Linked DNA regions of Nothobranchius furzeri. The protein of the gene in region 1 purifies or fractionates together with the protein of each later gene. This does not show direct contact. Links are inferred from orthologs where the notes say so. Each region holds a gene or a part of one and is shown in the gene's direction. Other genes may lie near its edges.

Evidence for each region.
Region 2: the proteins of cdca5 (region 1) and pds5b purify together in Homo sapiens (affinity purification with western blotting; 4 studies listed by BioGRID and IntAct, with this or other methods). This does not show direct contact. The link is inferred for Nothobranchius furzeri from reciprocal best matches to the Homo sapiens genes CDCA5 and PDS5B.

What each region holds. Positions count from the first base shown.
Region 1 is NC_091759.1:26,796,955-26,800,472, reverse strand, and holds cdca5 (sororin), read left to right. Parts: upstream 1-1,604; coding exon 1,605-2,357; 3' UTR 2,358-2,799; downstream 2,800-3,518. UniProt on the Homo sapiens protein: Regulator of sister chromatid cohesion in mitosis stabilizing cohesin complex association with chromatin. May antagonize the action of WAPL which stimulates cohesin dissociation from chromatin.
Region 2 is NC_091750.1:61,974,951-61,978,779, reverse strand, and holds part of pds5b (sister chromatid cohesion protein PDS5 homolog B), read left to right. Parts: coding exon 1-87; intron 88-731; coding exon 732-847; intron 848-3,829. UniProt on the Homo sapiens protein: Regulator of sister chromatid cohesion in mitosis which may stabilize cohesin complex association with chromatin. May couple sister chromatid cohesion during mitosis to DNA replication.

The sequences.
Region 1 (3,518 bases):
AGTACTCGTGTCGCTCACTGTTCACGTGCTTTTGCAGACCAATATGGTCGACTCACGTGATTAGGTGGCGTTGGTGCAAAGGGTCAATAGAAAACAAGTAAATGTTACACCGTTGGTCGGCTAAAACAGGTCATCAACAACAAGTCCCAATCCAACAGGATTTACTGCTGAAAACATGTCACACAAAGTTTTCAGCTTCCTCCTACTAGCGCAGCGCTGGGCAACATGCCGTTTCTAAAACATGGACAGAAACCTGGTTCAACAGCCAGCGGTTTAGCCGACTCATCGCTGGAGTCAAGAAAAACCGGGATTTTCACCCCAGCGGTAAAAATCGTACTTTTACAGATTATTATAATTACAGTTGTTTAAAGCGGTGGTGCAGAATACCAACCCTGCTCCGGAGATAATCTGCAAGGTTCTTCCGTGTGAAGTTTGCTGCTGCTGTTGGACTGAGTTCATAACCTAAAACCAGGAAACAAGCATCAGTAATTGTTGGTGACAAACGGTGAAACTAAGGAAGAGCGCCACAACCACATCATACCATTTCTCATCTTGTACAGCTGAACGTTCTTCTGGATGTACTCCGCGAACTGCACCGTGTCTCCGGCCTCTCCGACACACAGCAGCAGGATCTTTTCACTCAGCTTGAACATTTTGTCATAATCTGAGACACCAAAGAACAAAACTCAGTGTGAAAGTCATCCTCTGAAAAAAGCCAGATGTCAGCACCAGTCGCCCCAAAAACAGAAACCAGGTCCGGATTCAGGCGAGTGATGAGAAAACATCACTTTGAAAAAGAACCAGGAGGTTGGACTGAAGCATCCCTTCAGATCAGATTCATTTACATCTAACTTTAAACAACGATCAGTAACACATGTGCACTGTTTTAGATCAGAACCAGTTTGATTTGGTTTCTGTTGAACACAACCGGACTTTCACTTTCACCGCCGGGGTCGCTCACCACGAGATTTAGCAGGCTAGAATAAAGCATATAAACATCCTAAAGCTCAGAACTAAACTCAGAAGCTAAGTTTGATTTCTAAAAGGCTCATCGTACCTCTCATTGGCCGGTAATGGCTTTATTGTCTTACTTTTTAATCTCCTTTGGCAAATAAAATGTGACAAATGGTCATTAATGCGTTAGAATGAAACAGCAAATCCTAAAATATAAAGACTTATACGCAGACACGCGTCTGACAAACAGAAACAGAATCAAATGAGAGAAGAGCTAATGCTAAGCTAGGTAGCTAACACACCGTGTTTCATCTGAATGATGCTGCTGGCGGCCACATTATCGGCTGCGACGAGAACGAAATCCGGTCCCTGTATACCGATTAAATATTCCATCGTCTCCAACCGAACCAACACGGAATAACGGTGAAAATCAGGTGAGACAGCAGTCAAGTATGAGCGTCAAGCGTCCGGATTACACAGCAAAAACTTTGCTCTTCCACTGGCGCGGCTTGTTAGAGTCACGATGATGTTGTCGTCATCACCGTGCGACTCGAGCGGGTAATTTCGAAAGTGGCGCCGTTGTTTGAGCAACCGGAGGAGATTCAATCGAAACCGAGTGAATAATTCGCTGTTAGTGGGCAGATTTCAGCATGGACGAAGGCTCGCCTCATGGGGCGATGGCGGGAGCTAACGGTCCTCTCGGGCCGCAGCGAAGACGCTCGCCGCGGTTCAGTTCTCCGCAAGCTCCGCTGGGAGGTGAGAAGATGGCGCTGGGAATTAAACGCTCCATCACCGTGCGGAAAATAGCGCCCAGAAAAACGAGCGCTTCGTCTAAACACAACAAGGAGAACACGCCGAGGCACTCCGAGCAGGTACAGCAGCTGAAGACCAAAGTCTCAACCCCCGATCCCGGCCCGGACCGCAGGGCCTCCTCCTCCGCCGCGAGGAAGAAGCAGCAGGCGCCCATGCCCTCACGGATCCTCCCGTCCTCCCCACCGGACTCCTGTCGGACCCAGCAGCCGGCTGCTGAACCAGAGGCCGGCGTGTGTGCGCAGAAAGCCCGCCGGTCCTATAGCAGGCTCAGCGACAGTTCCCTCCACAGTAGCCCCGACTCCAGAGAAACGTTATTCGGCTTCGAGAGGCTGAGGACCCCGGAGGTTGTCCGGAAGTCCAAGCAGACCAGGGACGCTCTGGAAGTTTCTGGACCCATCACGTCTTTCACTGAATCGACCGACGAGGGCTTTGCTGAACCGGACCCGAACATCCCCGGAGTGTCGGTGTCAAAGGAGCGGAGGAGGAGGCGGAAGGTGCCGCAGATTGACTCGGCCGAGCTGGACCATCTGGCCGCTCAGATGAACGCGGAGTTCCGGGAGGCCGAGGAGTTCGAGTTGGTGGTGGAGTAGAACCGAACCCACCAGAACCAGCGTATGGATCTTTGACTGGAGGGGTGGTGGGGGTGTAAATACGTCCGGGACTCTTGATGGATTGTATATGTAGCTCGTGAAGGTTTTTTTCTCTACACCATCATGGTTCGGTCCATTTGGACTTCCTGTGTCGGCTCTGTAGCTTGAGAGTTCTGGATAAATCAAAACGGACTTTGTTCTGGTTAAGCGGTTCTGATCAGATCCCAGACCGGTTCTGATGCAGTATTCTTTACTGAATAAACCAGAGAAACAACACGAGCCCAGTAGAACCGAACCAGAACCAGAACGTCTCTGCTGACAGAGTTGAACTGACTTCAGGTTAAAGCTGCTTTTCTGGCTTTGTGGAGTTTTTTGTTGGACTTTTCCAGGTTTTCCTGTCAGTTTTCCTTTCTGCTTCCTAATAAACCCACACTGAAGCAAGCACCCTGCCTGTTGACCTGTTCACACGTCACTTCAGATTAGAGTTAATCTGGGCTACAGTTAACCTGGGTTATAGTTAATCTGGGCTACAGTTAACCTGGGTTATAGTTAGTCTGGGCTACAGTTAACCTGGGTTATAGTTAGTCTGGGCTACAGTTAACCTGGGTTATAGTTAGTCTGGGCTACAGTTAACCTGGGTTATAGTTAATCTGGGCTACAGTTAGTCTGGGTTAGTGTTAAACACAAACAACAACATTGACCATGATCACACATTTACTGTGTTTAAAACCAAACTTCAGACCAGAACACACGATTGGTCACACACTCCATGACATCAGCACTTTACCTGACAGCATTAATTTAAATATAAACAACCCTGGTACTGATGAAAGGGTGAATGTAGATAACACATTTACTGTAATTCACATCATTGTGTCTCTCAGTGAACACCTGGTCCGTTCAGAGGACTTAATCCAGCGCTTTACTATGAATGAATGAATTTAGGTAGAAACCAACAGCTGACCTCGGTTAACAGAGGCTGAAGCTAAAGACAAGATTCAAACCCTAAAACACCGTGTGTGTGTGATATGGACAGCAATTACATCAGACAAACCAGATGCATGGTTTCAGTGTGTTAGCATGAATGCTAATTTGCAGCACTTGTCCACAGACACCTTTTGTAAAAGGTAGAACACATTTAAATAATCAAATCAAAGAAAA
Region 2 (3,829 bases), on another chromosome or scaffold:
CACGTCTTTGACCTCATTTTGGAACTTTACAACATAGACAGTCACCTGCTGCTCTCTGTTTTGCCGCAACTGGAGTTTAAACTGAAGGTACTGAACAAAACATTTTAAATTTTCCTACACTTTAGCTGAATCTAACATTTAATATATGTTAGTTGAAGACAGGAAATCTAGTTTAGTTTCATAATTTCTGCACACTGAAGCCGCTGCCGTTTGTTCTGAAACGGGTTTGTGAGTTTATTCATGCTGCAAGATAACCTGGATTCTCTGAGCCATTACCCACAGAACTGCATTTGTCCGTTTTCTCTGCAGGTTTGTTGATTCATATAACAAAGATAAAGCATTCAGCATTATGTTCCCTCTGCAGCATCTCATAACGGTGTCCTGCTGATGGATAATGCTCATTAACTGTTCAGAGGGAGCGTAGATCACTGCTGCCTCCACAAAATAATAGCTGTGATAAAATCTCACCGTCTCAGCACACGCTCACTGTCCCCTTTTCCCTCTCACACACATCTTTTCTTATTGTTTCTTTTCTTCTTCCTCTTTTCCCATTTTCTTTTCTGTCATTCCGACTTCGCTGTGGAAACAAGACTAACGTTAATAAAACTGCAGTAATTGCGTGTTATGAGAATGGAAGTCGTTAATGGTGTGGTGCGCCGGTCCAATTGACGCCGCCGCATTTGGTGCTTCATTTCTCTCTCCGTCTGTCTCTTCAAACCCCGTCTCTGCAGAGCAACGATAATGACGAGAGGCTGCAGGTGGTGAAGCTGCTAGCTAAGATGTTTGGAGCCAAGGACTCTGAGTTAGCCGCACAGAACAAACCCCTGTGGCAGTGTTACCTGGGCAGGTGAGTTTCAGACGCTCTTTTGATGTTGACAGACTTTTAAAGGGTTAAGGAAAAGTTCAAACTCTCCTTATGTGTTTATTGGTCAGTCACTTTGTTTATTATAAGGCTTAGACATATTTGTTTGTATTTTTTGGGAGTTATGTGTTTTACTTCTCTAATGTACTTTGTATCAACTAACTGCCTTATTGTGTAGTTTTGTTCCAAATACTCAAGGATTACTTTGTAACTTCAGTATTCTTTTATCTGATGGGTAATTATCAGTCTTATGAGACCAATGGGTACATTGAAATTGTATCTAACCCTGCATTATATGCTGTTATTAGGGATGTTGGACAATACTATCGGTCTAACGTTAATATCGTCCGAAATCAGCATAAAACTTTGATGTCAGAAAATAATATCGATTTTCAGTCTTATAATGACACAACTTTGATATTCACATATTGTACATAACACTCTTTTGCTACTTCTCCATCTTAAAATGTCAAAATGTAACAGCTCTGAGGTTAAGCTTTGAGATATTTTAGTTTATTTGGCAAAACTAGTAGAAATGTGCCCTCTGTAGTGAACGTGCGCTGTCCTCACAGCACGGAGCTATGTGTAGCTAGCCCGCTAACAATAAAACAAACACGAGTCTTCACCCAAGACTCGCTTTTCTTATCTCAAGATCTTAATAAATGTTTTATCACCGTAGCTGCAATATGCCGAAAAATAAAAAATACGTTACTAATAAAGGTCGACCGATATAGATTTTTCTATTGCTGCGGCAGATGTTGATCTGTAGGAGACATGGTCAGGCGATGGCTGAAATACTGCTGAACTAAAACAAACTAAAAAGAAAAAGTACTAAAAGATGGCATTAGAATGTCAACACAGCAAGAACACACCAAAGATACTGCTGAATTTTATAGGCTGATATCTAGACCTTTTCCACATAGTTTAACTAACTGTTAAATCTTAACTTTGTGCACTGCTCAGTGTTAAAGTCAGACACCTACATAAAGTTAATTTAGAGTATTTATTATGCAAATGTTATTAGTGAACGTAAAAAAACATTAAAATTAAATTCTGCAACATTACCAAGCTACCTGAGCACGTGCCTGACTTTAATTCAGCTTCACTAAGGACAAATATCAGCTGATGCTGGTATATAAAAAACAGTAAATATCGGCCAACCAATAAATCTGTCAACCCTTAATTACTAACTAATAAAAATATCTCAGAGTCACACTTTGGGAGATTGAGATTCCGCTGCTATTGGACACAAAATAAATAAGGCACTTTTCCTATTATTAACTAAAGTTTAATAAAAGTTTAAGCATGCATTGGAGGAGATAAGTGATGTTAGTAACCTGAAATGTTTTTCTTTTTAATACGAGAGGAGGACACAGCACAGGTCAGCATCGGGAATTAAAAAGCAGGCATTATTGTGTGTGTGTGTTTGTGTGTGTGTGTGCGTGCGTGCGTGTGTGTGTGTGTTTATTGCCAGACTTAAAGTCCATTTTAAAAGAAAATAACATAAAGATAAAAGAAACAATACAAGAAAAACACAAGAAAAGAAAAGATACCAGTTAACATTAATACCAATAAGATCCTATATAAAATCACAGGATATAACTGCAGTGGGCGTAAGGGACAACAAAATTAACTAGTTGTGATAAATCTACCCAAACATTTTGGCCAGTGCATTCTCAGCCTAGACATATAACGAGAGCAGCGCACAGTGGGATTTGAGAGTGCAACTATAATACTACTGGAAGATTCTTCCAGCCGTCTCATAAACTTGAACATTACATTTCTTAAAAATGCCTTAAATGTGCACACTCTCACAGAAACAAACATTTGACAAGCACTTCCTCCCCTAGGAATTTTGAGGAGGATTCTCATTGCATCATTGTATGCCACTTGTAACCTGTGCAAGCGCGACTTTTTATAGAATGACCACAGATGTGCAGTATATAGTGGTGTTCAGTATGCTTTAAATGACGCCACTTTAACAGGTGTGGAACAACAGCTAAATTTCTGTGCAATGGTGTTTGCTTGCACATATAGCTTTCAGCACTACCTGTAAATCTCATCACCGTCGCTCATGTTGGCTGTGATTAAGTGTCCAAGATATTTTATCTTTTCACAGACCGCAAGACTTTTGCTGGACAACTTAAACACAGGAAAATTAAGCCTGGTTCTGTAGATTAGAACAGCACTTTTGCTCGAGTTATATTTTAAATCATATTCCTTTCCATACTCGGTACTAACATCTAGGAGCTGTTGCAGTCCTGCACTACTTGAGCTAAAAACTATGAGGTCATCTGCATACATAAGGTGATTAATCAAAACATCACCTATCAAACAGCCTGTGTTACAAGCTCTCAGGCGTCAAGATATTGTGTAGGGTATCTGTAAAAAAGCCAATAAGGAGCCTCTAGTTGTGATATTAAACGATACAAGAATATTCAACAGATGACTCGAATAACACTAAGTTATGATGCACTGCTGCCATCTGGTTGACAAGTAACCTGTTGGTGTTTCATGCACCACAATCAGTAAATTACATTCTTTTGGGTCAAATCAGCAATTTATTGCAACAAGATTAAATCATAACTGTTAATGCATTAAACACTTTTGTCAAACAACTCCAAAGTGCACGATAATGTCTGACTCACTATTCAAAGCATTGTGTCATTGGCAGAGTGGAGACATCTTGAACAAAAATGGTCTTTTTATGCCCCTGAGGGTCCAATTAATGTAATATAATAGTGTCTCACACCCACAATCTAATATAAAACACAGCTGAAAACCTTCGAAAACTCCTTTTAAATCTTCATGTATTGACGGGTAAAAAGCGCCGCCCCATTTTCTCACATTTGTAGGTTGTTGATTGACGCATCACATGCCTGGTGCTGCTTCCTGAGTCTGCTTCCAGCACATTTCCTGCTAGTTTTAGATTGTGAGCACAGCATATTTGTTTAATTCAGTGATGAA